Linked DNA regions of Neurospora crassa OR74A. The protein of the gene in region 1 purifies or fractionates together with the protein of each later gene. This does not show direct contact. Links are inferred from orthologs where the notes say so. Each region holds a gene or a part of one and is shown in the gene's direction. Other genes may lie near its edges.

The links.
Region 2: the proteins of NCU07831 (region 1) and NCU07954 purify together in Saccharomyces cerevisiae (affinity purification with mass spectrometry; 6 studies listed by BioGRID, with this or other methods). This does not show direct contact. The link is inferred for Neurospora crassa OR74A from reciprocal best matches to the Saccharomyces cerevisiae genes NIP1 and HCR1.
Region 3: the proteins of NCU07831 (region 1) and NCU03061 purify together in Saccharomyces cerevisiae (affinity purification with western blotting; 4 studies listed by BioGRID, with this or other methods). This does not show direct contact. The link is inferred for Neurospora crassa OR74A from reciprocal best matches to the Saccharomyces cerevisiae genes NIP1 and RLI1.
Region 4: the proteins of NCU07831 (region 1) and NCU03876 purify together in Saccharomyces cerevisiae (affinity purification with western blotting; 10 studies listed by BioGRID, with this or other methods). This does not show direct contact. The link is inferred for Neurospora crassa OR74A from reciprocal best matches to the Saccharomyces cerevisiae genes NIP1 and TIF34.
Region 5: the proteins of NCU07831 (region 1) and NCU05270 purify together in Saccharomyces cerevisiae (affinity purification with mass spectrometry; 4 studies listed by BioGRID). This does not show direct contact. The link is inferred for Neurospora crassa OR74A from reciprocal best matches to the Saccharomyces cerevisiae genes NIP1 and FUN12.
Region 6: the proteins of NCU07831 (region 1) and NCU08046 purify together in Saccharomyces cerevisiae (affinity purification with mass spectrometry; 7 studies listed by BioGRID, with this or other methods). This does not show direct contact. The link is inferred for Neurospora crassa OR74A from reciprocal best matches to the Saccharomyces cerevisiae genes NIP1 and TIF35.

What each region holds. Positions count from the first base shown.
Region 1 is NC_026503.1:1,003,134-1,008,176, reverse strand, and holds the start of NCU07831 (eukaryotic translation initiation factor 3), read left to right. Parts: upstream 1-1,661; 5' UTR 1,662-1,968; coding exon 1,969-2,341; intron 2,342-2,415; coding exon 2,416-3,398; intron 3,399-3,456; coding exon 3,457-4,719; 3' UTR 4,720-5,043. Other genes in the region: NCU07832 (pre-mRNA processing splicing factor 8), read right to left, coding at 1-609. UniProt on the Saccharomyces cerevisiae protein: Component of the eukaryotic translation initiation factor 3 (eIF-3) complex, which is involved in protein synthesis of a specialized repertoire of mRNAs and, together with other initiation factors, stimulates binding of mRNA and methionyl-tRNAi to the 40S ribosome.
Region 2 is NC_026504.1:1,230,564-1,235,637, reverse strand, and holds the start of NCU07954 (hypothetical protein), read left to right. Parts: upstream 1-1,696; 5' UTR 1,697-1,940; coding exon 1,941-1,959; intron 1,960-2,264; coding exon 2,265-3,054; intron 3,055-3,121; coding exon 3,122-3,137; 3' UTR 3,138-4,224; coding exon of another isoform or gene 4,225-5,074. Other genes in the region: aod-1 (alternative oxidase), read right to left, coding at 1-125; pod-1 (mitochondrion biogenesis protein), read right to left, coding at 4,225-5,074. UniProt on the Saccharomyces cerevisiae protein: Component of the eukaryotic translation initiation factor 3 (eIF-3) complex, which is involved in protein synthesis of a specialized repertoire of mRNAs and, together with other initiation factors, stimulates binding of mRNA and methionyl-tRNAi to the 40S ribosome.
Region 3 is NC_026501.1:4,384,653-4,389,735, forward strand, and holds the start of NCU03061 (translation initiation factor RLI1), read left to right. Parts: upstream 1-2,089; 5' UTR 2,090-2,373; coding exon 2,374-2,393; intron 2,394-2,529; coding exon 2,530-2,623; intron 2,624-2,691; coding exon 2,692-2,697; intron 2,698-2,769; coding exon 2,770-3,109; intron 3,110-3,161; coding exon 3,162-3,323; intron 3,324-3,388; coding exon 3,389-4,246; intron 4,247-4,299; coding exon 4,300-4,610; intron 4,611-4,687; coding exon 4,688-4,720; 3' UTR 4,721-5,083. UniProt on the Saccharomyces cerevisiae protein: Component of the multifactor complex (MFC) involved in translation initiation. Required for the binding of MFC to the 40S ribosome. Required for the processing and nuclear export of the 60S and 40S ribosomal subunits.
Region 4 is NC_026506.1:1,994,847-1,999,583, reverse strand, and holds NCU03876 (eukaryotic translation initiation factor 3 subunit 2), read left to right. Parts: upstream 1-2,003; 5' UTR 2,004-2,265; coding exon 2,266-2,315; intron 2,316-2,442; coding exon 2,443-3,040; intron 3,041-3,172; coding exon 3,173-3,565; 3' UTR 3,566-4,048; downstream 4,049-4,737. Other genes in the region: NCU03877 (C-1-tetrahydrofolate synthase), read right to left, coding at 31-68, 178-198, 264-960; crf4-1 (chromatin remodelling complex ATPase chain ISW1), read right to left, coding at 4,516-4,653, 4,721-4,737. UniProt on the Saccharomyces cerevisiae protein: Component of the eukaryotic translation initiation factor 3 (eIF-3) complex, which is involved in protein synthesis of a specialized repertoire of mRNAs and, together with other initiation factors, stimulates binding of mRNA and methionyl-tRNAi to the 40S ribosome.
Region 5 is NC_026504.1:5,513,986-5,518,845, forward strand, and holds the start of NCU05270 (mitochondrial translation initiation factor IF-2), read left to right. Parts: upstream 1-1,689; 5' UTR 1,690-1,977; coding exon 1,978-2,490; intron 2,491-2,585; coding exon 2,586-3,101; intron 3,102-3,175; coding exon 3,176-4,860. Other genes in the region: NCU05271 (hypothetical protein), read left to right, coding at 1-825. UniProt on the Saccharomyces cerevisiae protein: Plays a role in translation initiation. Translational GTPase that catalyzes the joining of the 40S and 60S subunits to form the 80S initiation complex with the initiator methionine-tRNA in the P-site base paired to the start codon.
Region 6 is NC_026504.1:4,018,176-4,023,105, reverse strand, and holds NCU08046 (eukaryotic translation initiation factor 3), read left to right. Parts: upstream 1-2,037; 5' UTR 2,038-2,107; coding exon 2,108-2,133; intron 2,134-2,189; coding exon 2,190-2,444; intron 2,445-2,600; coding exon 2,601-3,249; intron 3,250-3,453; coding exon 3,454-3,678; 3' UTR 3,679-4,192; downstream 4,193-4,930. Other genes in the region: NCU08047 (hypothetical protein), read left to right, coding at 1-1,160. UniProt on the Saccharomyces cerevisiae protein: RNA-binding component of the eukaryotic translation initiation factor 3 (eIF-3) complex, which is involved in protein synthesis of a specialized repertoire of mRNAs and, together with other initiation factors, stimulates binding of mRNA and methionyl-tRNAi to the 40S ribosome.

The sequences.
Region 1 (5,043 bases):
GGACAGGGGCGGTTCTTCGTCGTCGAAAGGTGGAAATCGCATGCGCTTGAATAGCCGGCGGTCGCTCTTTTCCTTGCGCATTACCGTCCACATACTGGCCCACTGTGCAAAGAAGACGGGCTCAATGACTCTCGGGATCTCATTCACAAGGGTCAGACAGCCGTTGACGTGATAGAGAACCTTGACCTCTCTGGCAGCCTCCCAAGGCATGGGCATGTTCTCGAGCAGCTTCAGCACAGCATGGGGCATGAACTTGAGCGCCCCAAGATAGCTGCGCTTGTCACTGGTGTACTTTTTCTGCGAAACATCCCCAATATCCTTGACGATCTTCCGCAAGTGCTCTGGTGGCATGTCGGCCTTTTCCGTCTCAACAAATCCGCCCTTCCTCTTCTCGCCGAAGCGATTTCTCTGCATGCGAAGCCATTCCTTCTTCTTCTGGGCGAACTTGGCAACATGAGGGTCGGTTGGTGGAAAGAACCCAGGCGGCGGCGGTGCTGGGAGGGCAGGAGGAGGTGGGAGAGAGGACGGAGGCGGCGGCGGCGGAGGTGCTGATGGCGGCGGAGGAGCGCCCCAGCCGGGGGGAGGAGGTGGTGGTGGCGGATAGGACATTTTTTCGATTTCTGCTTGATGAAGCTTTGTTGACGTTTATGTGGTTGTTTCGTTGTAATCGTCTTCGTCAGAAGCGTGTACCAGTCGGCGTTGGCGACGAGATGGATAGAAGGCTGGATACCGTGAAGTCGCCTGTCCGCGCGATGGCGGTTTGCAGTCCGCGTGCGTCGTTCCAAGGCCTGTCTCGCTGAGGAAGAGAAAAAAGGACTGGCAAATATTAGATTCCCATTGGTTTTAGATGGAAATGGGCGTAGGTCGACCTCGCACCAAATCGCGGCGATGGTCGATCAAGCTGAGAATGGAGAGGTGGATGTTGTATTCGTGAAAGTGTGGTTTGGTGGCGCCAGGATGCTGGCGTTGACGTTGGCAGGTTGGCCTCGTTACGAAAAACTTGAACAGCCTCGCGACAGCTGCGTGGGCGGTCGATAAAGTTCAGAGGTCAGGGCGGGCGGTCCAGGTCCTGGCGCGCAAAACGGGAAACCTGGCAGCGGGATTCTTCGCTGTGCAGGTGCTTGTTGGCAGCTGCAGCCCGGTAGCGTCCCCGCCACTCCAGTTAGTGAAAGAGGGCCTGGGGTTGGTTGCCTGCAGCGACTGGGCAGGCTGGGCTGTCACTTCTCGACTTCGTGGCGAAACGTCTCCTGTTACGTACTGTAACTTTCGATACGCAATCCCCGTTACGTGGTAGATCTGGCTTGACAAGCTCACAGCACGTCTCAGATGCATGTAACCGAGTATAGTGATACATTATCAGTTCAGGTAGCTGATACATTGAAGGTGGGGCATCAGCTGGCTGGCTGTTTGCGCCCAAGTACCCAGACGACAGGTGTTGAATCTCATAGTGAAGGCCTGACAAAGCAATGCTTGATATTGTTCCCTCGCTCCGCTCGCCAAAGTATACACAAAAACCCGTTCCTCTGACAGATCCCTCATGCGAACATCTGCAAGGTTCAGACCTTATCTTCATCTTCTAGGAATCCCGTCCTGCGATCTCCAAGCGGAAGCAGGTACATTCAGCTCATAAGTTCAGCCTCCCCCCCGCGGAGCAAGTATCCTCTCCCCCCACACCCCTTGCTCGGATTAAGTCATACCCAATCATTACAGCGCTCGAGGCCCAAACAGCTCCGCTCGATTCGCTAAGCCCCAAATCGCCCCCACCAAAACGGCCTTTCAGTGAAAATTAATTCTTTGACCCCTCTGTCCGCCTCGCCGCAGCCGGGTTTTGCTTTGCCAACCATCCGGACCATCACCACTTCCGTCCACCACTCCAAGTACCCATACCGGTAACCCGGACTTCTGCATCGCGCCCATACCCCCGGAACCCGCATATTTATTCCGAGTCTATCGAAAGAGACCGCAACCATGTCTCGTTTCTTCCGCGGCGGTGACGACAGCTCCACCGACAGCAGCTCCGAGGAGGAGGAGGTCTACACTTCGGAGGAGGAGGAGGAGAAGGTTCAGGCCGAGGACGAGTCTTCGTCTGAGGAGGAGTCTGACGAGGAGGAGAGCGACGAGGAGTCCAGCAGCGACGAGGAAGAAGGAACCAAGAAGAAGGGTGCCTCCCGTTTCTTGCAGAGCGACGACGAGTCCGAGGAGGAGGAGGAAGAGCAGAGCGACGATGAAGCCACCACCAAGGTCAAGAGCGCCAAGGACAAGCGCTTCGACGAACTCGAGTCCACCATCAGCCAGATCCAGAACGGCCAGAAGATCAACGACTGGAGTCTTATCGCCAACGGTTCGTATATCTTTCATGCATGCATACACCCTCGATATGTCCTGCACCGATACTTACTCCCCTCCCCGCTTTAGAATTCGACAAGCTCAACCGTCAGGTCGTCAAGCTCCAAGATGGCAGCAAGGCGCCCAAGTCCTACATCAAGGCCATTGCCGATCTTGAGGACTTCATGAACGAGACTCTCGCCAAGCAAAAGGTCACTCCCAAGAAGATGAACGCGACAAATGCCCGTGGTCTCAACGCCGTCAAGCAGCGCATCCGCAAGAACAATAAGGAGTACCAGACCCAGATCGATGCCTACAGGAAGGATGCGGACGCTTTCATGGAGTCGGATGATGAGGTTGCCGCGCCCAAGGTTGTTTCCAAGGTCCGGTTCGAGGCTCCCGTCGTCAGTGCTGAGCAGCAGGAAGAGGACGACAAGGGCTTCTCTACGGTCGATTCGCGCGGCAAGGTTGTTCAGTACACCCCCGAGAGCATCCTCAAGCACCTCCGCGCCATTATCGAGTCTCGCGGCAAGAAGAACACCGACCGCCTCGAGCAGATCAAGGTTATGGAGACCCTCAACAAGGTCGTCCCCATTACCCCTTACCAGAAGATCCGTGTCCTCCAGACCCTTATTTCTGCCCGCTTCGATCTTGGTGCTGGTGGCGCCGCCCAGATGCCTTTGGACCAGTGGAAGGCCGCTGAGCGTGACCTTGCCTCTCTCTTGGAGATCCTCGAGAAGGAGAAGGACCATGTTGTTGTTGAGGGCGCTGAGGAGTGGGATGATGATGACAAGCTCCCCACCATCCCCGAGGGTGAGAAGTACCTCAAGGTTCCCGGCAGCGTTGTCTCGCTCATTGAGCGTCTCGATGACGAGCTCACCCGCTCCCTCCAAGCCATCGATCCTCACACCTCTGAGTACATCGACAGGCTAACCGATGAGGGCTCTCTTTACAACACCATCTTCCGTGGTCTTCTTTACTACGAGCACCTCCGCAAGGATGCTTCCCTCGAGGTTCCCCAGGAGAGCTTGAACCGCATCATCCAGAGGCGTCTGGACCATGTTTACTACAAGGTATGTATAGAGCTAATGCTGGAATACTCAGCCGTCTTTGCTAATCATCTTCTTTCAGCCCGCCCAAGTCGTCAAGATCCTCGAGGAGAACGCGTGGAAGCAGGTTTCTGCTGAGGCCGATTCTGAAATTACCCCCCGCAGCCAATCCGGCGATGCTGGCAAGCTCATCAACATCCTTTCTAACTACCTGTTCGAGAACAGCGAGGGCATCATCCGCGCCCGTGCCATGCTTTGCCAGATCTACTTCTTGGCTCTGCACGATGAGTACTACAAGTCTCGCGACCTGATGCTCACTTCCCATCTTCAGGAGACTATCGCCAACTTCGACATCGCCACCCAGATTCTCTACAACCGCACCCTCGTTCAGGTCGGCCTTTGCGCTTTCCGCAAGGGTCTCGTCTACGACGCCCAGAACACCCTCCAGGAGATCTGCGGCAGTGGCCGTCAAAAGGAGCTTCTTGCTCAGGGCGTCATGATCCAGCGTTACAGCCAGGTCACCCCTGAGCAGGAGCGCCTCGAGAAGCAGCGCCAGCTTCCCTTCCACATGCACATCAACCTCGAGCTCCTTGAGTGCGTCTACCTTACCTGCAGCATGCTCCTCGAGATTCCTCTGCTCGCCCAAACCGGTTCTTCGCCCGATGTCAAGAAGAGGATCATCAGCAAGACCTACCGCCGTATGCTCGAGTACCATGAACGCCAGATCTTTACCGGGCCTCCGGAGAACACCAGGGATCACGTCATGCAGGCCTCCAAGGCCCTTGCTGCTGGTGAGTGGAAGAAGGCCACCGACTTCATTCACAGCATCAAGATCTGGGACTTGATGCCGAACACCGAGGGTATCAAGACCATGCTCGCCAAGCAGATCCAGGAGGAGGGTCTCCGTACCTACCTCTTCACCTATGCTCCTTTCTACGACACTCTCGCCATTGCTACCCTCAGCTCCATGTTTGAGCTCGACTCTCGCAAGGTCTCTGCTGTCGTCAGCAAGATGATCAGCCACGAGGAGCTCGCGGCTGCTCTTGACCAGGTCACCGAGACCGTCATCTTCCGCAAGGGTGTTGAGCTCAGCCGTCTCCAGAGCTTGGCTCTCACTCTCTCCGACAAGGCCAGCTCCCTTATTGAGACCAACGAGCGTACGCTCGAGCAGAAGACACAGGGCTCCGCCAACGCCTTCTCCAGGAAGGACAACCGTGGCGGTGGCCAGCGTGGTGGTGGCCAGCGTGGTGGCAGAGGTGGCGCGAGGACGGGCGGCAACCCTCAACGGCAGGCCGGTGGTACACAGTTCACTGGTGGTGCTCTGGGTAATGCGGTCCGTGGTTAAAGCTCTGTGGAATAGGGAAATTGGTGGTTTTCGTTTTGCTATTGCATTGGGCTTTGGTGTGTGACTAAAAAGCAATTCCCCAGGTCTTCTAATGGTGCTATCCCCTTGAATGTGTTGCCCCATGGTTAGACCCAGCGAAGTTTAGTCTAGAATCATAGGTTCTCTCGGTTTAATTTGTGTTTTTGGTTCGGGCATAGCTTCACTCAAAATTGCGCGTTTGATATTTTCTTCATGATGTGTTAGTTTATCATATGGAAATTGTCTGAACCTGTGTATAATGTACACCATGTCAACCTGAGTATTCTTACAGCCAACCCGAAACGA
Region 2 (5,074 bases), on another chromosome or scaffold:
AAGGAAGTGGCCACTCGAGAGCCCGCGAGCAGGAGAGGCCGAGTATGGCAGGTTGATATCAGGGCACGGCTTAGTTGGGCCGCTTGTCCTGGAGCGTGGAGTATGTTTACTTTGGGGGTGTTCATCGAGAGTTTAGGGAGTGATGTGAAGTTGTAATGGAACTCGCTTGAGGTTTGTGATGATGGTCCATATGTGTCGGACAGCACTAGACACGGGACGTTTATATCGTCCTTTCCTGCCCCCAGTTGCAACTCCTTTCAGGGAAAAATTTGGAATACGAGAGCTGACTGAAAACACCGAGTTTGTCCGTCCCTGGTCTCAAAGGAGCAATAGAGTTCCGACACTGCCCAAGCAATCTCCATTTTTTAACATCAAGACAATCCAGGAACAAGCAAATAGCGGGCGCTAGCGAAAGGAACCCGGAAAGCTCCAGATCTTCAACCAGGACAAAATTTCATTTTGAATCCTCAAAGTGGCAACCGGGCATCGATTGTGGTGGTCAGCTGGATGTCGTTGTTTGGCGGTGTCGGGACCTCCCGGGTGACAAGCCATAGGGCGCAGTTCCACTTCCGCAACATTCTCGGGATTAGCCTTGTACATATCCAGAAGAACAGCGAGCCCCTGAGCAAGTACACTAAGACTGGGGGATTGTGACTCAACACAAAGACAGCCACAGGAGATTTCGAGATCATTGATAGTTGGTTGGTTGGTTGACAGGGCACTTGGGCGAGTTATGTGTTGGAGATTTTGCTGACAGTAATAGCGAGCGGAGGGAAACGGAACACCAGTCGCACTTGTTCTCATAGGACACACAGCATGACTGAGCAATGGCTTGGTTGCTTCCGAACCTGCAAATATACAAACAAATGTCTTGGGCCATAAGTTGCGAATGGCTTCATGTTAAACTTCTAACTTTGCTGTGACGTCAGTGGTAGTTATTCGTAGAGTGTAGGATCGAAGGAACAATTGCAAGTGTCCAAATATTATCCCGTGTCGGAAGCGGGGTGGAAGTGGTGTACAAAATATTGACGACGCAGGGCATTTTCGGGTGACTCCTGGTCCAGAACATTTGGTGAAAGAGCAGAGCTTTAGCATCCACCTAGTTGTTTATGAATCATTCTCTCCACATGCGTTAACAGACTTCTCCAAAAAGCCATCCTTCTAGGCCTGCTGCACCTAGCACATGCTGCTTGACCGAGGCCGTACATATATGGTGCATGCATCGTGCATATACAAGATGTCCTAAAAGATAAGAGAACGAAAAGAAAAGAAAAAGGGAAATAAAGACGGGCATGTTGGCGAACTGATGGTTTTTGTCAGGACTCAGCACCGACCCTGACTGACGGGCCCGTGCGACACAGCACTGACCCCGCATAAAGCCTTCTGGAGGGAAGGCATTGATATATACCAAAGATGGGAAGGAAGTGGTTATTCAGAAGGGATGGTAGCAAGCAAGACGTACGAGGAAGTCAGGTGCTTGGTAAAACATAAACGGGAGGAATAAATGGGGACGATTCCTGTGTATTGAAGACTAGCCGCCCCAGGCGTCTGGAGGTTCTGGTTTTCCTCCTCATCTTCATCGGGCATCTTCTCAATGAAATCCAATTGGTCACAAAGCCCTTTTCCCTGGCAGTTTTGGCATTGTATTAAAATCTTAGACGTTAAAGAACCTTGAAGAACCTGTGAAACGCTGTTGCTGTTTCACTGTTGGTCTTCTAACCCCGCTAACAATACCTAGTTATTTTGCCCACTGCGAACGGAACCACACTCAAGGTGGCTGACCCCTGCTCGCTTTTTCAACTTCTCAAGACTGCGATCGGCTTCTCTTTTGCAGTTTGGACACAACCAACCACAGCACGCAAACTTTTCCTCGTCGCGCCAGACATCGTTGTCGCAAAGACCCGTTCGGTTTTCTAGATCGTCACTACCAAATCGCAAACATGTCTGGAAAGAAGTGGGGTAAGTCTTCCTCGCTCTCCTTGCCTTTTCCCTCTTTGCGCAAGACGAACCCCGCGAACAGTGTATGTCGGCGAAAGTGGGCGGCCGCGATCGCCGTGACAAGGCTGCCTGATGCCTGCGCCGGCTTGCGATAGACGCTGTTAACATTGCCATATGCCTCGAGGCTTCCATGTTTGAGGCGAATTGGACTTCAGCGACGCAGCCTATATATACAGATCAACCAGAACCAACTCTTGCATCGACTTTCCTGTTGCGCCACCACAACCTGTTCGAAACCCAGACTAACTAACCCCTCATCACCACAGACGAGGAAGAGGAGGAGTCTTCCGCCCCCAACTCGCCTGTCCTTGCCCCCGGCCGCCGCCGCTTCGACGATGAGGAGGGAAACGAGAGCGACGTTCTCGACTCGTGGGATGCCGCCGAGGACTCCGAGGTAGAGCGCGAGAAGGCGAAGAAGGCCGCCGAGGCCAAGGCCAAGGCTGAGGCCGAAGCCGCCGCCAACAAGAAGTCCAAGGCGCAGCGCATCGCCGAGCGTCAGGCCGAGCGCGCCCGCCAGCTGGCTGAGGATTCGGACGCGGAGGAGGAGACCGAGGCCGAGCGCCGCGAGCGCCTCCGCCGCGAGCAGAAGGAGTCCGATCTTAAACACGCTGAGGACCTGTTTGCCGGCATCGGCATCAGCAACGACCGCAAGGTCGTCAGCAAGGGCACCATTGTCCAGATCGACCCCAAGGACCCCAACAACACCATCGACATCTCGACCTTGGCCTTGTTCAACCCTACCACCAAGACCCAGTTTGAGACCCTCCGCACCACTCTTGGCCCCATGATCGGCAAGCTCTCGCCCAAGCCGCACTACACCCTCTTCCTCCAGGAGTTCTCCAAGCAGCTCGCCAAGGACCTCAAGAGCGACGAGATCAAGAAGATTGCTAGCACCTTGACTGCTCTCAGCAACGAGAAGCTCAAGGAGGAGAAGGCTGCCGAAAAGGGTGGCAAGAAGAGCAAGGCTGCCAAGACAAAGACCTCGCTCGCTGGTGTTGGTCGTGGTGGTGCCATTGCTGAGGCCCACGACACTTATGATGATGATGCTTTCGGAGAGTAAGTTGGCTTGAGGTGGAGTGAGAAAAGATACGCGTGGGGAACGATTGCTAACGTTTCGCTCTAGTGATGACTTCATGTGAAAGATTTCTACCGATAAATCACAATCGTTCGCTTTGTGAGGAAGAGAGGCCTCGAGTCCCTCTTCCCATCAAGGGATGTAGAATCATCCCCTTCACCAGGTATAATACTCATCTCACCCGGGAAGCATTCGGAGCGAAGCAAAAAAGTAGCGGTTGCGTGTGTTTCATGGCGTAAAAAGAAAGCGTAGACTACCACGACACCCGCGCAACGGTCACGGCACGTCCGCCGTCCGGACGTAAGGTTCAGTGGCATGATGTCTTGGATGGATGCATGAGGGATCAGAGTCGTCATCAGTGCCAGACTGGACGAAAAAAGGAGGATGGCCTCTTGGGGCACTGATCGAGTCGCGACTTGGGGGTGACGGGAAAAGGCAGCAGATACCATATAGCATGGGGGAAAGTAGATTTAGAGTGCATTCAATAATGAAGGCGAGCATCACGTTTCGAAAGTCCAGGCTGCATATCATCCTGGTGTGAGGTTCTCTTATCGATGCCATGGCTAAAATTACAACCAACACTATTTCAGTCACCATCTCAGAACCCTCTCAGAAACTTACACCAGTGAACAGGTGATATTTCCCGACCATGAACACCATGTGAACTTTTCAGACAATGTTGCTGTACCCTAATCAAAACACTTAAAACTCCGATCGCGATGTTGATCTGCCCTGAGCAACCATCATCACTGACAACAAAACCAGGGCACACAAAACACCTCGCCTCCCGCATTCATATGATTCCAGCCAGTAATTCGATCCGTCCGGGTCATTAAGAGCGTAAACCAGTTTCAAATCCCCTCCCTCCTGTTCATAACCATAACCTGCCTGCCTGCCTGCCTGCCTGTCTGTTCCTTCGAGCTCCTGTTTTTCAGAGCCATATAAGTATGTTTGATGTATGTATAGTACAGTGAAATACCGCTTGGAAAGGTATGGTAACCCCCTCACGGTAAAGTAAAGTAGAGAAGAGAGAGAGAAAAAAGGATAGTACAACACAACCCCATATCGTCACAAAACAAGACTTTTCCTCTACCCGCCTGATAAAATACAGGCAAAAGTCTATAATCGTCAGTGTCATATCCAATGACGGCTCACATCAAGTCTCCCGCCACGCCAGCCAGCAACGCATGTACCACGAGACTGACCGTCCACAGTCCCACGCGCTTGAATCTCCTCACCCTACTTTGCTGATCCTCTACGTTTCTGGCAAAAGCACGGTACACCTCGGCGCTCATATCGTCCATCAGCCCACAGTCCCAAACGGTCCAAGCTCCGTCAAAGTCCGTCAGCCGCTTTACGATCCGGCAACTGATGGGGATGTAGGTGCGCTTGGCGTTGATGTAGGCGACGATGGGCCGTACTAGGGCTTGGTTCACGTAGCTCATGTGTGGGTTGTTGAACAGAGGGACAGCGGCGCGGACGTCGTTGAGGTGGATGCGAAGGTCCATGACTAGATAGGAGGGAGTTTCTTCAATCGGGGCTGGCTCTTTGGGAGTCGCGGGAGGGATCAAGGGGGGGAAGTGCTGCTCCGAGGTGGGGAGCTCGTCGTGGTGGCCGGTGAGGTCGATGTCAGAGGCAGATTCCGGAATTGGCCCGCTTTCGAGGGTGGGGCTGTTGGTGTTGCTTCGGCTGTTGGGAGAAATGTTGCCGTCTAGAATCTTGAGGTAGCGGTTGCTGGTTACGGCTTCTTCCATTTTGTCGTAAAACTCGGCGACAACCTTGCTTAGACCCTCCTCAGGATCCGCAGGGAACATGATGTCGGCAATCATATCGACGTTGCCTTCGTAAATCCAGCCAAACGGTCCTTCTACACCGCGGTTCAAGTGGTCAATCTTCAGCCCATCAATCCGTAGTCGGGAGAACTTCTTCCAGGCCGAGGGAGAACCGAACTCGTCTTGGTGGTGACGGCCGTTATCTGCTGCGGACACACCGTGGATCTGT
Region 3 (5,083 bases), on another chromosome or scaffold:
TACCCTTCCAGACGGCGTGGGCGGTGTGAGGCAGGCGAGAGCGGGCGATTCCCGATTCAATTGCTTGGAGGTATGTATGGTTATGACCGCTCAGCTATCAGGTTATACAACACTGGAAGAAGTTCAAGGATGGAATGTGGTTGATATAACAACAAATGATTCAGAGAAGTGTTGTTGTCGGTTGATGGCACATCGACTGTGTACCGGTGCGACTTGGGAATCAACAAGGTGGGAAAGATGGAAGATGGACGACAAGCTGAGAATACTCCCGGTACGTGGACGTCGCCCGGTTTTTCTAGGTAGGCATGCTGGCGTCGAAGGGGTTTTCTTTGTCAGCTCCGGTGCAGGTGCCAGCCATGCACTGGTCTCTCCTGGTGCTTCACTTCAACTTGGTACACCGCGAGCACCGGCACCAAGGTGATTTGGATGATTTCCCGCCACTGGAGCTCCGGCTCGAAGAGAACCTACTGCGAGCCGACGCAGGCAAACCCAGGCAGGCAGTCAGGACGACAACATCTTGTAGGTGATTGTGCGGGGCCACCTCTATTTAACCCATTCCACAAACGTAATCCGAGAGCCTCCAAAAGTGTCAAAGAGAAACAGATATACCTAATCAAAGATTTTATCCTCGTCTCATGCCTATCCGACCAAAGAAATACCAGTCCTAAACTCCCTTCAGATTATGAGTATGTCCAAGTGGGTATGGTAGAGGCACCGCTTCCCTGGCGCAGCTGGAGCAGATCCGTCCAGGACGATGGATCCACACGATCCCGTGCTGCTGGGGCCACCAGCCTTCCTTGACTGCCAACATTGACCTCTGTCGGCAACTATCTTCAACGTCTTGATGCCGATGTCATTTCTGCCTCGACAACATGTGGAATAGACTGCTATCAGAGTAGATTGGTTGTGAGTCACTGCCCGGCCGGGGCGCAGGAAACATATGTCGACAGGCAGCCAGAGCTCTGTTCGGAAGTCCGGTTTGATGTCAGTAACCCTGCGCCTCTCTGCATCGTGATCGTTGACGGCATCCGTGATGCTGCGAGTGATTTCCTTAAACGATACGGTTGTGGGAGGAGTCCGAGCGCTTCTAGTTGTCAACCCTAACTAGGTAACTATGCACATCCTCCTACCGAGCGTCATGATCAAGCTTGATGTCGTCGGCCATACAAGTACTCCCCTCCAAACAAACAATACGCTGCCATTGACGCATTATCTTTAGCCGAGGGAGTACTAGATATTAACGCTCACTTGTGAAGGATGGGTCGGATCTGTTCATCCACGGAGGAAACTATCATCACCTGGACAGAGAAAGTGGCAATATCAATGAAACTGTCTAGTCATCATCATCCGCATTATAGTCGTCCATTGGAAGCGATGACCATGTATTCGGGAAAATAGGCGATGTAAGGCTGTGTTCAGCAGATCTCGGATCTGTTTTGGCTGATAATGAGCACAAACTGACTTCAGCAAGACATTAAGTACACGCCCATGATTAACCAACTCTCCACGATGCCACTTGGGTCACTGTAAGAATCTTTGGGCAGAAGTTGTCCTGAAATGAAGGGGAGATCAATGGGAAGCGGAAACAGAACAAAGGACAGAGGAACAATAGTAAAAGTGGAACCCAATGTGGACGACCACTTGCGTGAACATCAGCTAGATACTTGGTGCAACCGCAATGATAGGATAGTAGAAGCTCCTGTCATGTTATGGAATTCTGAGACAGAAATCATGGGGTGGACTGAGAGTTCAGCCCGACTGGGGAGATGGAATTTAGGTACCTACTACTTATATGGAGGGTCGTTACATACCTACAAAAAGTGCACACGGGGCACCTAAGGCAAGCAATGACAGCGAAACAGGAACAGTGGGCTTTCACCTGGCATTAGATACCAAGGTAAAGTTGGTACCTTTAAGAGGTAACCTATCAACCGTGGCACATTTCAGCTTACACCTCTTTTGTAGCTCCAACCCTGCTACCATGTTGGTACATAGCGTTGCGGGGCTAGAGGTACCTAAGTAGGAAGCCCGACGACCTACCTTACTTCACATCAGGGCAAGCGGGGTCTTTTTTTTTTACGATCCGCCCTGCCACCAGACTCGGCGCACGGTGCAGCGGTCTCGACATTTTTTGAGACGAGGGAACTGACATTGTCCACAACCCAGGCGTCGACCCACGTTGCCTCTGGAGAAACTTAAGAGTGTCAGCCTCCTCCGCCTTGTTTGGCCCTCTCCACTCTGCTCGTAGTATTCCGAGACGTGCGGCATCTTGAGAATTTCTCCCCCTCCCCCATTTCCCGCTTTGCGCCTAGGATAGCGGTCCGCCCACAGTCACCCATCTCGATCAGTCCGCAGAGCGAAATCACAGACAAGATGTCGGACAAACTCACTCGGTGCGTTTACGATCCCAAGGCCGCACGCGTGTGTGCTCTGCTTGTAGAAGCATCGGCCGATACTGGCTTGTGCTGGTCTGGCTGTATGCGCTGTCTGGCTTCCACCTTGCTGACCTCGCCTGTTTCGTATCTGTAGTATCGCTATCGTTAGTAGCGACAAGTGCAAGCCCAAGAAGTGTCGCCAGGAATGCAAGAAGTCATGCCCTGTTGTGCGCTCCGGTAAACTCTGTGTAAGCTTCCCTCTTCTCCATAGTCCTCGTGCGGTAACAAGACCAAACAGCTAACTGCTCTCTAACAGATCGAGGTAAGATCTCTCCGGACCCCTTGCGATCCCCGTGTTTTGCGCGACAACACCCTCCTGACATCCGATATCTAGGTGTCTCCCGAGTCGCGCATCGCCTTCATCTCCGAACAGCTGTGCATTGGTTGTGGTATCTGCCCCAAGCGCTGCCCCTTCGGCGCCATCACCATTATCAACCTGCCCACCAACCTCGAGAGCCAGATCACCCATCGCTATGCCGCCAACAGCTTCAAGCTCCACCGTCTTCCCATGCCCCGTCCCGGCAACGTCTTGGGTCTTGTCGGAACGAACGGTATCGGCAAGAGTACCGCGCTCAAGATTCTCTCCGGAAAGCTTAAGCCCAACCTGGGCAGGTACGACAACCCGCCTGACTGGGAGGACGTCATCAAGTACTTCCGCGGTTCTGAGTTGCAGAGTAAGGAATACGGCTCACCTTGGAAGGAGATCAGAGGATTGACAAATCGCAGACTACTTCACCAAGCTGCTCGAGGATGACCTGAAGGCTGTTGTCAAGCCCCAGTACGTCGACCAGATCCCCAAGGCCATCCGCACCCCCGACAAGAGCGTCAAGTTCCTGATTGAGGGCCGCCGCTCTCTCGATAACCTTGACGAGGTTCTCGACACCCTTGGTAGGTTCCACATGCTTTGCGCTTTGTGATTTGCTTATTTGGACGCCCTGGCTGATCTTGAATAGAGTTGCGCCACATCTACGACCGTGATGTTACCCTCCTTTCCGGTGGTGAGCTCCAGCGTTTCGCCATCGGTACCGTTTGCGTTCAGAAGGCCGATGTCTACATGTTCGACGAGCCTTCCTCGTATCTCGATGTCAAGCAAAGATTGAGTGCCGCCCGCATCATTCGCTCTCTCCTCCGGCCCGACGACTACGTCATTGTCGTCGAGCACGATTTGTCTGTCCTCGACTACCTCTCCGATTACGTCTGCTGTCTTTACGGTCAGCCCGCCGTATACGGTGTCGTCACCCTCCCTCACTCCGTCCGTGAAGGCATCAACATTTTCCTCGATGGTCACATCCCTACTGAGAACTTGCGTTTCCGTGACGAGAGCTTGACCTTCCGCATTGCCGAAGGCACTGAGGAGTTCATCCAGGAAAAGTCGCGCGCCTTCAAGTACCCTGCCATGGAGAAGACCATGGGCAACTTCCACCTGTCCATCGACGCCGGTTCTTTCTCTGATTCCGAGATTATCGTCATGATGGGTGAGAACGGTACTGGAAAGACCACCTTCTGCCGTCTTTTGGCCGGTGTTCTTAAGCCTGACGGCACCAAGAGGGTTCCCGAGATGAAGATCTCCATGAAGCCCCAGACCATCACTCCCAAGTTCGAGGGTACCGTTCGCCAGCTGTTCTTCAAGAAGATCAAGGCTGCTTTCTTGTCTCCTCAGTTCCAGACTGACGTCGTCAAGCCTCTGAAGCTTGATGATTTCATTGACCAGGAAGTCAAGCATCTGTCCGGTGGTGAACTGCAAAGAGTTGCCATTGTTCTTGCTCTCGGTATTCCTGCTGATATCTACCTCATCGATGAGCCTTCTGCCTGTACGTGAACCTCTTTCCCACCCCCTTAAGATGCATTTCTAACCGTCTTCCAGATCTCGACTCCGAGCAACGTATCATTGCCTCCCGTGTTATCAAGCGTTTCATTATGCACGCCAAGAAGACTGCCTTCATCGTCGAGCACGATTTCATCATGGCCACTTACCTTGCCGACCGTGTTATTGTCTTTGATGGCAAGCCTGGTATCGACGCTCACGCCAACAAGCCCGAGTCTTTGCTTACTGGCTGCAACACCTTTTTGAAGAACCTTGATGTCACTTTCCGCCGTGATCCTACCAACTATCGCCCTCGCATCAACAAGCTGAACTCTCAGCTTGACCAGGAGCAGAAGCTCAGTGGCAACTACGTAAGTTTTGTTTCTGTTTCAATTTGGAAAAGTTCTCCCATCCTGCGACCTCATACTAACATTGCTTTCCCCTATAGTTCTTCTTGGACGATCCCGAGAAGAGCAGTTAAAGACGGTGTCTCCAATGATGTTCTTCCCAAGAATAATAAGACTAGCGGCAGAGGCAACAATACTAAACGCCCCCGTCGTTGTTATGATGATGCATCGGATTCCGGCGTTCTAGGCGTCCAAAAAGAAAATGGCAGTTCCTCCATTCATTGCGGCGCCGGGGATGGTAGCGGTAGCGGCGGCGGCGGTTCTGGTTCTGATCTCGAAACTGTCTCTTCCTCTTCCTCTGAGGACGACGCGCCGAATGATTAACCCCGGCGGCGGCAGTCAGTTCCCTGTTGCCTGGTCCTACGAAAAGAGAGAGATATACCCCTCCGTCACATGTTTTGTGAGAAAGTTTGCGCTGTCTTTTTGGTTTTGGTGAA
Region 4 (4,737 bases), on another chromosome or scaffold:
AGGACAGGATATCCCCGAGCTTGTGCGTACCTCCTCAGCAGCCTTCAACTTCATGCGCACATAGGTAGCTGCATGGCAGACAGACGGTCAGTCAGCAAGGGACAATGCGTGGCACAGAAATGTTGCTGTGACGGCGGGGTAGATAAAGTGGTGGACGGTGCAGCAGTCTCAACGTACAGGAATCGGATCGATCACCAACTGCAGTCAACTGGTTAGCCACTGGGTTTCATCTGCAAAAGCACGCAGCACACACACAAGCGCACCTTGGATGATCTTGAGGCAGGGGCGGAAGCGCGGGTTGGTCTTCTTGGTCTCGTCGATGGTAGCGCGGAGACCGTCGCGGATGCGCTTGGCCAGCGCGGTGCCGTCGATCTTGGAGGCCATTGCTGCTTCAGGCTCCCTTGTTGCGGCTCTGGGAGAAGCTAAACTGGAATATGTCCTGATGGAGCTGCGCGGATGGCCAAAAGCAGCAGCGTATCGAGAGACAGGACCCTGAATGTGAGAGAAGCGGGAGGAGGAAGATGGTGCAAAGGGTAAAGTGTCAGGCAGAGGCAGAGTTGAAGATGAGGGGGAGAGCAGCGCATTAGCTCCAAAATCGCTAGCAGCTGCTGCCCCGGCGCATGACGGTGACACCAGAATCGACCCCGTAAGCCCCGTCACTGGAGATAGGCGCCAATAACGGGATTTCTTAGGGCGGCTGCAGGTGGATCGCGGGGCGGCGGAGAAGTCAGTGGTACCAGCTGCAGAGGCGACGAAAGCCGAGGTAGAGCTCCGAGAGTCGGATTCCGTGCCCCACGACAATGTCCATCTTTTGAGCACGTCTTGTCCCGTATGCTCGACTTGAATGCGCCGCCGTGTGTTCAGCGACCCGTGTGCGGACAGGGATGTGAGACAGCTTCCGGCTCGACGCGACTTCCTTGACGTGGAAGACACCCTCTGGATGAAGCTGGAGATGGCCATGCCTACACGACGCAGACTGGTACTGTAGAGCTAGAAGAAGGGTGCAGTGGTCTTTCTGCGTGCGTGCTGTAACAACATCACACTGAACAGCAGCGGACGCAGGCTCGGGGTAAGGGATATTCAGAAGCTCAAGACTTCCGCCCGGCCAAGCTCTCTCGACGCCCCCGGGCACCTCCACGACGGGGTGGGACCAGACGGATTCGGGACCCAGGGGTTTTCTGCGCCGCACAGAAGAGTCACAATGGGTTCCCGCCTAGGTAGACGACGGGGGATCGATGTCGAGGATCCAATGATCGCCGGTTTGCTGGCGGGAATAGAGGTTTCGTGATTTGTGATTTTTTTTTCTTTTTTTTTTCTTTCTTTCCCTTCTCGAGGAGTCACCGAAGGTGAGCGTCTCAAGACGTGCCGCAAATGACCAGTGTAAATGTGACAACAAAACGTGAAGCCAATGAGATAACCTAAATAGAATAGAGCCCAAACCCAAGCTTCTCAAAATAGTACGTATTCACCATGCATTCTTGCAAGAATCCTACCATGTCTCGTTAGAAAAGCCTCTATTTCCGTCTACAAATCTCCGAGAGTTGAAGAACTTTTCCTCCTCGATGCGACCCCCGGAAGAGGGCATTCATATAACTGCAATTGAAGTGGGTGTCTAGATGCTGCATCCATGACTCTACAAGTTCTCGGCTTGCTGCAGGTAGCAGCTCGGATCATGATGTGCTCGCACTGTCCTGTCTGTGTCGTTGTTCTAGATTGAAGTTGGTGTGGCTTGCGGCCGCGGCACAGGCTTGACGAATACAGCTGACTCTTAAACTCTGAGTCACAGACTGAGCCACAACTTCTTATCGGTGGCTGTCGACGGGCCGGCAGGCTGCGAGCGGCGGATCGAGGTGGCAGGCTGCATCGCAAGGTCCAGAGTCCGGTCCGAACTGAAACCAGCAGCTTCAATGGATGGCACACGGCTGGCTGGGACGAGGGACTGGAGAGGGGCAGCTTGGCATCTGCAGGGATAGGTGTTGGTTCGCCCCGCGGCCGTCAGAATCCGCCAGAGCCAGCCAGCCTATCGCGCACAATCTGCGGAAAAATTACTGGGAGTGGAAATCCACCCAAAGAAAGAACACCAAAGACCGATCCGACGACGACGACCGCATCTACAAAGACACTAATCCACCCACCTACCTCCCAAGTCGTGCAACCCCCCCCCGCGATATTTCTCGACGACGAATCCACTCAGTGTCTTCTAACGACCATAACACTTCCATACCGCCGTCCACGCCTCGTCATATTTAATAACCCACAATCAAGATGAGGCCCATTCTTCTTTCGGGCCACGAACGTGCCCTCACCCAGATCAAGTTCGTCTTCCCTCCGCATCATCATCGCATACCTTACCCGCCGACCCGACCCCTCTTGGTGTTCTGGCTTTGGCATGTCGGGCATATAGAGATGCAGCCTCTAACAGCAACCCTTTACCCCCAACAGGTACAACCGCGACGGTGATTTGCTCTTCTCAGTTTCCAAGGACCAGCAGATTTGCGTTTGGTTCGCGCACAACGGCGAGCGTCTCGGTACATACCACGGCCACCAGGGCGCCATCTGGACCATTGATGTCGACCCCACATCCACCATCCTCGCCTCTGGTTCTGCCGACAACACCATCCGCCTTTGGGAGATCAAGACCGGCAGACTTCTTAAGACATGGGACTTCCCTACCGCCGTCAAGCGCGTTGAGTTCAGTGAGGATGGCAGCAAGCTTCTGGGTGTGACGGAGAAGCGCATGGGTCATCTGGGTACCATCGTTGTCCTCGACATCAAGCTCGATGTTGACGCCGAGCAGAGCGATGAGAAGGCCATGACTATCGTTTGCGAGGACAGCAAGGCCACTGTTGCTGGCTGGAGTTATCTCAGCAAGTACATCATTGCCGGCCACGAAGACGGCTCCGTCTCCCAGTTCGACGGCAAGAACGGCGACCTCCTCTACAACATCCCCATCCACGAGCTCAACCAGCCCATCACCGATCTCCAGTGGTCGCACGACCGTACATACTTCATTACCGCCTCCAAGGACAAGACCTCCAAGGTATGTCACATGGCTCCACAACCCCCCCCCCCCCCCTTTTTTTTTTCTTTCTTTGGTCTTCTTCCCGGATCCTTAAAACCGAAATCAATGAACAGTCAATCGCATGCTAACACTCCTTGATTATTTTCACAGCTCATCACAGCTAAGGACCTGGAGGTCCTCAAGACCTACCCCGCCGACACCCCTCTTAACAGCGCTACCATCACTCGCAAGAAGGACTTCGTCATTCTCGGTGGTGGTCAGGCTGCCATGGATGTCACCACCACCTCCGCGCGTCAGGGTAAATTCGAGGCGCGTTTCTACCACAAGATCTTCGAGAGCGAAATTGGTCGTGTGCGCGGTCACTTCGGTCCCCTCAACACGGTTGCCGCCGACCCGACCGGCAAGAGCTACGCCAGCGGTGGTGAGGACGGTTACGTCCGTATCCATCACTTCGACAAGGGTTACTTTGACTTTATGTACGAGGTCGAGAGGGAGAGGCAAAACAAGCTCAACCAGCAACAACAGCAGACCATTTCTGCCTAAACGGATCCCTTCTATCGACATCGATCGAAACTTTCGGACTTTCAGCAAGCAGGATCCGAGGAGGGGCGGCAGAAAGGGGCGGAAAGGCGATTCGCGGGACGAAATATGGGTGTCGTGTTATTGAGTTCAGGATTCTCTCGACTTGTCGGAGGAAGGAAATGAGCAAACGGGTTATTTTACATCGCGCGTCCAGGGATCCAACAATTTGGGGGAAATGGGCATTTCACAAACGGCGTTTTTTTCAGGCAACCTAATCTGAGAATTTGGGCGATTCCACCCAATATTTGGTGAAAAAAAAAGTGAAAAGGAGCAAAAATTGGAGCGATGAGGTGGTGCGGTTCGATGTGAAGCAAACGAACGAACAAGTGAGTCGCGCGGAGAGCGGATATGTAATTTCCATCTTGTCACGAAAGGAACCTTTGGTCCCTATCGAAGCACAGAAGAGTCATTTGTCATAGTTGAATTCGGTCGTTCTTCTGCTTACTATCTTGCGCAACCTCGTTCATGTGATATCAGATTGGACGTTATAAGTAGAGGTCTTTCGCCAATTGCTTACTCACTCCCTTATGGTCAATAAGAATCCAACACAAGTGGAAACAATAATACAGGGGTAAAGGAAGTACAAGACTGCGCACATCATGCCCTATTCATCCATCAGAGAACGGATTTGACCAAAAGGATATCTTTTGTTCCTCAGGTAGGCAGAGAAATCCCTCGCTAAATGACGGCAGGTGAGATAACCATCACCGAGACCGCAACATGAATACGACACAACGGAAACGCCGCGAGCCAACTGCATTAACCCTCCCTGGACTCTTCTCAGTGGTGAACCGAGCCCCTTCACCCAATCTAACCCAGTCATATGAAACGCAACTACAGCTTCGAATACCAAGCCAAGTCAATACATGTGCCGTAGCTTGTATTTTTGGTCTGGACCACCATCAGGCGGTCTACTTCTTCTTTCCCTTGGGGGCAGCCTTGCCCTTTGTCGCCTTCGATTCCGTCGACGCCACGCTTGACGCGCGCGAAGGGGCAGCCGAGGTGGCTTTGCTACCGGACGCTGACTTGACGTTGTCTAGCGCTTTGTTCTGTTACGCGGGTAAATTCAAGTTAGTACGAACATCTCCAAAGTGAGAAAAGCAGGGGATGGTTTACCTTGACACCATTAGCCT
Region 5 (4,860 bases), on another chromosome or scaffold:
CTGGACCCTGTCGAGAAAAAGCTGAAGCCACGCAAATTATGTGACTTGGGCTCGTTGGCTCTGGAGCTTCACATCTCCGGGACTAAGATTCTTGCCCTGACGTGGGACGGTTCACTCCAGATGATCGACCCGGCGCTTGACGACGTCATTGAGAACTCTGCAACACTCGAGTTCCACGATCCTCGCAATGTTGTACCAACGTCGTCGATGCAAATTGGAAGCAATGTATTCCTGGTGGCAGATAAAGACCGTGGCGTGGGCGGTCTTTGGCAATGGTCCAGAACACCAGGAACCCATAACTGGGCTGAGTTCAGGGTGCTCTTCGAGGGGACGCTTCCTGTCAGTATCAGGAAGTTCCGGCGCGGCAGGACACGGCCAACGTGGGAGCAAGGAGCCTGGAACGCACCCAAGTACGGCCGGCTCATTAGCACACCGAACGATGCCGAGATGTTGGGAATAGCCATGGACGGCACCATGTATCACTTTACGCTGCTTGATCAGCACGCATTGCGTCTGTTGCGATTCATTGTCAACTTGTATAACCTCAGGGGGAAGAGAGACGAGGAAAGGCTGCTGCACGCGGAGCCGAACCTGGGTCCCACTGAGCCGTCGCATGTGGATGGTGATGTGCTGAAGACACTCTTGGATGCGGAAGTCTTGCAAGAGCTGATCAACACGGAGGAGCTGTTGGCGCGGTTCAAGAGCCTGTTGGATAAGTTGGATGGAGGCAAACATACTGCTGAGTGGATGGGCGAGGGCACTGCGGACCAGTATTTTGAACTGGCGTATAACGTGTTGATGTATTATCTTAGGCAAGTTTACTAAGTGCTTGGAATTCTAAGGCGGGGGGGGGGGGGGGGGGGAAGGGCAAGATACACTGGTAATAAACGGACGTGTGATCCAGTGTCGGCCTACAAGCCGTCCTGATGAATGCCTTGGTGGTGTAGCTACAGCATAATAGAAAAGCGAATAAAGAATATCACTAGCAACATCTGGTTAATGAAATACCCATTATGACAAGGTGAGGGAGTTGGCCTGCCCCCTTGGATGGAATATCGCACAAAATACACCAAAGTGGTAGAAAGTAAATACAGAAATTAGCCCAGCAAGTGCCCCACTTGTGCCTTAACAAGCAGGTGCCCCGCATTCTGCACCAACGAGTCGGTCACTGTACTTGTACGCGGGAGTGCAGGAGCTTCCACTTCTTTTTCACCACTGCACTGTACTGTACTGTATTTGTCTTGACTGCTGTCTCCAACAGTCTGTGCAGTGTCAAGTCAAGGGCTTGGTCAAAGCGACACCTCCTGGCTCCGGCACAAGTAAAAAAAAAAGTTTGGAGTGGCGATCCTTGTCTGGATTTTTCTGCTGAATCGAGACTCCTTTGACTTTGCGACTTCGACTACTTGGGATTGAGTTAGAGAACGGGACATGATTGCCGTTTTTTGACCGTAGACGGAGACAATACCAAACACTTTATACGGGTTGAAAGAAAGCGCATAGGCAGACGGTGTAAGTACAGGTACTGAGATAGGTACGTACCTGACCTCTATATAGTGTAGCAACAAACCAGAGCGGGATTCGATACAAAGAACAACGAAAGAAAAAAAAAAGATCCACGGTGCCAAGTACCTACAGTACCATCGATCCACTCTGCAGCACCACCACCGAAAAGTGATACAAGTGACAAGCCCTATCCCGTCGACAAGGGGGGACCTACAGCACCAAAAAAAGTACGCCGCCTGCCTTCTTTAGCAGCCAGCCATATCGCATATAACGGCCCAGTAGCCCCAGTCGGCCGCCCCACGAACCCACCACCAGAACCACCTAGCGAGCAACGAGGTCTTCACCCGGACTTCGACTTTCGTCACAAGGAGAGAAGGAGAGCCCATCAGGATCCTCTCCCCCGCCCATCCTACCGACGACATCCCCGCCTCAAGGTATTCCCCGGTCGACTACCAACAGTCCAGTTAGCCCAACATGGCGCCCAAGAAGAAGGGAAACAAGAAGGCCAACGATGACTGGGAGGCCGAGCTGGGCGAGTCCATCGCCCCCGTCAACAACAACGGCGCCGATGCTGCTGCCGCCTCTCCCGCTGCCGCCGACGACGAGGCCGCTTCCGGTGGTGGCGGTCTGATGGAGAGAATGCGCAAGGCCAAGGAGAAGCGCAAGAAGAAGGGTCTTGCCGACGACTGGGAGGCTGAGCTGGGCGAAGACGCTCCCGGCGCCGAGAAGCCCGCTGCCGCCGAGCCCGTCCCCGATCTGTCGGCCAAGGTCGCCGAGGAGGCCAACCTCGACGACGAGTTCGCTCTCCCCGAGAAGAAGGGCAAGGGTGGCAAGGGCAAGCAGCAGCAGCAGCAACAGAAGGCTGCTCCCGCCGCCGCCGCCAAGAAGGACGAGGATGCTGCCGATGAGGATGGCCCTAGGGTGTTGACCAAGGCCGAGAAGGAGAAGCTCAAGAAGGAGCGTGAGAAGCAGCGCAAGAAGGAGCAGGTGAGTACCCAGTCATTATCACTATTACCCACTAATGACTATACATACATCAGACACAAACGGAAGACTAACAACAACTTCTTTTCACTAAACAGGCTGCTGCTAAGAAGAAGGGCACCACACCCGCCGCCGCCGCCAAGGCCGAGCCCGCAAAGGAGGAGAAGAAGGCCGAAACCCCCAGCCCCGTCTCGACCCCCGCTTCCACTCCCGCCCCCGAAGCCGCCGCCGGTGGCAAGAAGAAGAAGCTCCCCGCCCACCTGCTCGCCCTCCAGAAGCAGCAGGAGGAGCTGCGCCGTCGCCAAGAGGAGGAGGCTAGGCTCCTCGCCGAGGAGAAGGCCAGGATAGAGGAGGAGGAGCGCGCCGCTGCCGAGGAGGCCAAGCGCAAGGAGGAGGAGCGCGCCCGCAAGAAGGAGAAGGAGAAGCAGAGGATCGAGCAGCTCAAGAAGGAGGGCAAGTTCATGACCAAGGCCCAGAAGGAGGAGAAGGCCCGCAACGAGAGGAAGCTGCAGCAGATGTTGGCGGCCGGTATCAAGGTCAACGCGCTCGAGGGTGAAGAGTCCAAGAAGAAGCCTGTCTACGACGACAAGAAGAAGAGGGCTGCTAACAAGAAGGTGAGTCTGTCCGGGATTCTTGCTACAATTACGGTATACTATGGACGGCGCTAACCAGTGTCTACTTGCTACAGAAGGACGAGGAAAAGGCTCTCGCCGAGGCCGCTGAGCGCGCAAGACTCGCCGCTGAGGCTCTGGTCAAGGAGCAAGAGGAGAAGGCCCGCATCGAGCGCGAGAAGGCCGAGAAGGAGGCTGCTGCCAAGGCTGAGGCCGCCAAGGCCGCCGCTGAGGACAGCGTCGACGAGGACTGGGAGGCCGCTGTTGCCTCTGACAAGGAGGATGTCAAGGACAGCTGGGACGCCGACTCCGACGAGGAGGAGGAGACCAAGAAGGAAGAGACCAAGAAGGAGGCTTCTAAGCCCGCCGCGGCCAACGGCAAGACTCAGGCCAAGAAGGAGGAGTCCGAGTCCGAGTCCGAGTCTGAGGAGGAATCTGAAGAGGAATCTTCTGAAGACGAGGAGGCTACCGCCAGGGAACTGGAGGAGGCCCGGAGGAAGAAGGAGGCTGCCGAGCGCCGCGAGAAGGCTCACCAGGCCGCTCTGGCTGCCAGGTCTGCGGACAACCTCCGCTCGCCTATTTGCTGTATTCTTGGTCACGTCGATACTGGTAAGACGAAGCTGCTCGACAAGATTCGTCAGACCAACGTCCAGGAGGGTGAAGCCGGTGGTATCACTCAGCAGATTGGTGCCACTTACTTCCCCGTTGAGGCCATCAAGCAGAAGACGCACGTCGTCAACAGGGACGGCAAGTTCGAGTTCAAGGTTCCCGGTCTTCTTATCATCGATACCCCCGGTCACGAGTCTTTCTCCAACTTGCGTTCGCGTGGTTCTTCGCTCTGCAACATCGCCATCTTGGTTGTCGATATCATGCACGGTCTCGAACCCCAGACTCTCGAGTCCATGAGACTGCTCCGTGAGAGGAAGACGCCCTTCATCGTCGCTCTCAACAAGATCGATCGTCTTTACGGCTGGAAGAAGATCGAGAACAACGGCTTCCAGGAGTCGTTGGCCCTCCAGAACAAGGCTGTCCAGAACGAGTTCAAGAACCGTCTCGAGCAGACCAAGCTCGCCTTCGCCGAGCAGGGTTTCAACTCGGAGCTCTTCTACCAGAACAAGTCCATGGCCAAATACGTCTCCTTGGTCCCCACCTCTGCCCACACCGGCGAGGGTATCCCCGACATGTTGAAGCTCATTGTCCAGCTTACCCAGGAGCGCATGGTTGGCTCTCTCATGTACCTCTCCGAGGTCCAGGCTACCGTTCTCGAAGTCAAGGCCATCGAGGGTTTCGGTATGACCATCGATGTCATTCTCACCAACGGTATCCTCAGGGAAGGTGACCGCATTATCCTATGTGGTACAGAAGGCGTCATCAAAACCAATATCAGAGCCCTGCTCACGCCCGCGCCGCTCAGGGAACTGCGCCTCAAGTCGCAGTACGTTCACAATAAGGAAGTCAAGGCCGCTTTGGGTGTCAAGATCTCTGCCCCCGGCCTCGAGGGTGCCATTGCCGGTTCCCGTCTGCTTGTCGTCGGCCCCGACGACGACGAGGACGATCTCGAGGACGAGGTCGAGGCTGATCTCGCCTCGCTCTTCAGCCGTGTCGAAAAGTCCGGCCGCGGTGTCTCCGTCCAGGCCTCCACCCTTGGTTCGCTCGAGGCCTTGCTCGACTTCCTCAAGGAGTGCAAGATCCCCGTCGCCAACGTCGGTATCGGTCCCGTCTACAAGCGTGATGTCATGCAGTGCGGTATCATGTTGGAGAA
Region 6 (4,930 bases), on another chromosome or scaffold:
AGTCCTTTGACGAGGCTGCGTCCACCGCTAGCGTAATCTCTCATGATGGTAGACAGCTAGACGGACTTAGGGACAGTACTCAGCGGTTTTCATATCTGTCGTCCGGGCAGCGTACAGCCCTCACGTCAGCTGGGTCATCACCAGCATGTTCGCCTATTCACGACTCTTTTGCAAACCTTCAGGACTCCATTCCAGAGCTCACCGCCCTTGATGACCAACCCCGACCGCGACCAAGACCGAATGCAGCAGCGATCAGTGACAGAAGACAGTCTCTGCAGACGTCGAATCATCTCCTCGAAATGCGTCTCGCCGCCTCTCATCCCCTCTCGAGTTTGAGCACGTGGAATTTCGATCCCAGCAGCCCTTCGAGCTCTAGCAAACGATCCAGCCAGCGTTATTCGCTCACTAGGTCAACAAAATCCCTCCCGGAAGAGGAAGTTGAACCATCTTCTCCACCTCCTCCGCTACCTTGTCAGATGCGCGGCGGTTCACGGAGACCCCCGCCCTCGGCTCTGTGCCTCAACTCACGCCCGCTCTCTTTTGTGGTGGATCAACCGTCGCCTGAATCGCCGTCGCTTGATAGGAAAGGTGTTTCAATCGAAGTAGCTGATGAGACAGCACCGGAACCGGAGTCCCTTTTCTCGTCTTGGGGATTGCCGGACGCAACCAAGCAACGTTGTGACAGCGGCGAGGACTGGGAGAATCTCTCTCCCACACAACCTGTCACACATGGTAGCCCTGAAAAGAGGTCAGGCTATGCTCCTCCATCATCAGTGGCTTTCCAAGACATGCTCAGATCCACTCCGTCCGTCGGCGATTACCCAGGTAGCCCATCGAAGCGCGCCGATAGAAGATTTAGTCTGCAGTCTCAGCTGTCAGAAAGGTCAAGCGAACCTGATCGCAGTTTCCTTGATCTGAGTGACCTCGGTGACGATCTCGGCGACCTTCCCCAGATATCTTCAACTTCACTTTCGAAGCAGGGCTCGAGACCCGCGCCCCATTTTAGGTCTTTGTCGGTTGCCAACGGCGGCTTGGGTTCGCGACGGAATAAGACACAGCTGGCGGAAGGTCCCCCACCTGCTCCCCCGCCGAATCGTGCCCTTCCTCCAATCCCGAGAAAATCGTCACTTCAAGTCTGTCACTCAGCATATTCACCTTGAGCTGTGATTTGCATTTACTCGTATCTGGCGCCATACCATCATTCAACGCATCGCCATTTCTGGACGTCTAGGAAGCACGACCACTGAAGTTTCCGAGTATCTGTCAGCGACAATACTTGCAGAGCAAAGGGCGCCTGGGGATTCAACTGATAGAGATAAACCGCCATCGAACCGCTGATTGACTCCGTCACCATTTCCTTTGTCTCTCTTTTTTCAAGGTCGGGTTCAGTCGAAAAACAAGATACCGGTTAGATGGATGGAATAAGGATGCAGGAAGCAAGATACTGGATACCCAGGTGATGAGGGTACATTTATACCACCGGCGACATCCGGAACGTAACGTGTGAACGATCTCCTTTGTCAGGTCGATTTGGTGCGGGATTTGTCTTTTTTTGCCATATACCTTGTATTATGTAATGTTGGGGTACCTACTGTGTATGTAGGTGATTAATTGAGGAGGTGAGTGTGGTGGGCATGAAGGGCGGGGTGGTTTTCGATTCTCAATCGGAGGAGGGGGGTCACAGAGTCAGAAGAAAGCTGGTGCCCGGCAGGCTCCGTGGCCAACTTAGATAGCAGTGAGTTTAGAGCATCAGATATGGATGCTTGGAGAAATCTGAATCGAGTTCAAACTCTCAAACTTTAACCTCGGTGCCAGCCATCAACTTGCAAACAAAGGTACCTACTATGTACAACACGTCCTGGTGTCGAGAGAGTTGAGCTAGCTCCATGTTGCGGCGCCGCGCCCTGCCCCTGGTAGGCCTGGAGGAGCAACGTTCGGGTTAGGGTTGTGATGCCTGTGATGCCCCCACTAATGGATGCGAAGTGGAAGCAACCCAAAGCGGATAATGAAAGAAGGGGCAAAACACCTCAACGTATACGTCTGGATGCGACCAGTCCTGCTTTGTCAAAGAACGAAGCTTCGTTTGTAGGGAGCCGTATTGGCTGTCATGTGCGAATCTGCTGCCTTGATATTGTACGTAGGATAGAGCACCGTTAGCTGCCAAACAGGGCTGATTTCCTGAGTGAAAGCCGAGTCAGCAAGACAATTTTTGCCCCACACTCAAATATCCAAAAATTCCCACCTCCAAAAAATGGGGGGGAAAACTGCCCTGGCTTTTCAAACTTGAGCCCCACCAAAAATCGCCGCCAAACCAGCGCAACGTCAACCCATCGCGACGACAACCCACGGCCATTTCAGTCATCCACCGCACCCATCACCAGACGAGCCGAACCTGCGGAATCAAAACAACCACATACTGTCAAGATGGCTGCCGTTCAACAGAAGTCAGTACTCCTCCGCTTGCCTCGACAGCAAACGCCCGTCTGCATCCACGCCCCCGATTCCCCCGATTGCCATTTTTCCGGCGTGCTTCACAACCCAACACGTATGCATTTGATTTCTCGGAGAGTAAGAGTCTAACATAGTTCGCGACCATTCAGGCACGACTGGGCCGACGATGACGAGCTCGAGGAGACCTCCACCGAACTCCCGCCCCCTCAGAAGATCACCAACAAGGATGGCAGCACGACCATCATCGAGTACCGCCTGAACGACAACGGCCAGAAGGTCAAGACCACACGACGCATCCGCTACATCACCCACCGTGAGGTCGTCAACCCCCGCGTCGCTGAGCGCAAGTCGTGGACCAAGTTCGGCCTTAGCGTCAAGGACGGCGCCGGCCCGGCCCCCGACACCACCTCGGTCGGCGAGAACATCATCTTCAAGCCTTCCTTCAACTGGCGCCAGGAAGCCAAGGATGAGAGCAAGGACCCCAACGCCCAGGCCATGAAGGACAAGTTGAAGGACAAGAAGGTCAAGTGCCGTATTTGCAACGGCGAGCATTTCACCGCCCGCTGTCCCTACAAGGACACCATGGCCCCCATCGGCGAGGCCGGCGCTGCCGCCGACGTCGCCGCCAGTGCTGCTGACGAGGCTGCTGCCGCTTCCCAGGGTGCGGCGGGCGCGGGCAAGAAGGGCTCGTACGTGCCACCTGCGCTGCGTGGTGCCGGTGGGGCCGCGGCTGCTGGAGAGAGGATGGGCGGCAAGTACGGCGAGCGCGACGATCTCGCCACTCTCAGAGTTACCAACGTACGTTTGCCCCTAGTGTCCCCCAAAAGGACGCGGAGGAGGAGGAGGAGGAGGAGGTGGTGGTGGTGGTGGAGAAGAAGAAGAAGCAGAAGGAAAAGGGAAAGAGGGAGTAGGCGACAGACTTGCAAAAGCTGCTCTGTTCTGCTCCTAAAGAGGGGTTATTATGACGGGACTGATTCGTGCTAACATGTTTTCTACGCTTAGGTCTCCGAGATGGCCGAGGAACAAGAGCTTCGCGATATGTTCGAGCGGTTCGGTCGCGTCACTCGTGTCTTCCTTGCCAAGGATCGCGATACGGGTCTTGCCAAGGGCTTCGCCTTCATCAGTTTCGCTGATCGCAGCGACGCTGTCAAGGCTTGCGCCAAGATGGACGGTTTCGGTTTCAGACATTTGATCCTTAGGGTTGAGTTCGCGAAGAAGGCTGCGTAAACTTAATGGGTCTTCTAGACGGACGAGGAGGCGGAGGAGAGGGAGGAAGGGGTTAGAGGAATGATGGAAGAAGCAGCGATGTTTTGGTCCCTAATGCGGTCTGCACAAGGAAGTGCGTCATCAAAATGGGAAAGGACTCTTTGATACTACTATTACTTGATCTGGTTCCTGTCTCTTCTTGCTGTGGGGGTTCATACTAATGGGGAACAAGCGGCAAAATTTGTCATGATCGAGAGATTTCTTCCGCCTTTTAAGCATATCGGGCCAGGGTGGCCAGGTGGTTATAGTTGACTTTTGTTACATGGATGACGGGCTAACTCCAGGTTGAACAAGATCGGTGTAATAGACTGGCAACATGCCCGGACTACAGGAGCCCAAAACGCACCGAAGCTCTTCAGAATACAGTGTGGTCTTCTTGTCGATTCAGGGCGCATGCCAGTGTTTAAAACAGCTGACAGCCTCTCTGAACTCTTGAATTATTATCAGTGCATTTATCTATCCCGCTGAACGTCCCTGGCATCAAACATTATATTACTTGGTGACAGAATCTGTTATGATGTCCTATCATCAACTCAACCGACCAATCGCAAAGACCGTAAGTTCCTGAGCTCTCTCAAAGCAGCCGGCACGTCCCTTCATCCTCTTCATCTTCCTGTCTCATTCATCTCATCACCGTAAAAGTCGTTCATCCCTCCGCCCTGCCCTCATAAATCATGAAGTCTTGGAAGATGTCGACAAAGAAAAATGGCTGGTTGCCTATAAGAGAAATAAGAAACAAATATCACTCGAGAATGAAATGAAAAAAAAAAAAAAGGGGGGGGGGGGGGGACATTCGGCGCAAAGAAACCTCAGCAACAACACCATGAACACACAAGAACAATAGCCTCCCGCCCATCATAACCCCTACACCTTCTCATCCCTAGACCTTCTTGCCTTTCCCCTCCTCCTCCTCCTTCGGTCATGATCACTCTCTCCATCAGTATCATTCCCTTCCTGCCTTTCCTTCTCCTCCTCATCGTCATTCTCGCTTCCATTCACCTCTTTCAGGCATGTTCCACCCTCCTCTTCCTCCCTTTCCCTAACCCCCCATACCTTTCTCCTCCCTCCGCCTTTTTTCCTCTTCCCAATCCCCCGTCTTTCCTCCGACTCCTCTCATCATGTATACGGCACTCTTCTAACCCACCCCTAGCTCAGCTCCACCGCCAACCTTAAGTGGCTCCGCGCCTGCTTGAAATGAGCGGCTGCTTTCGAC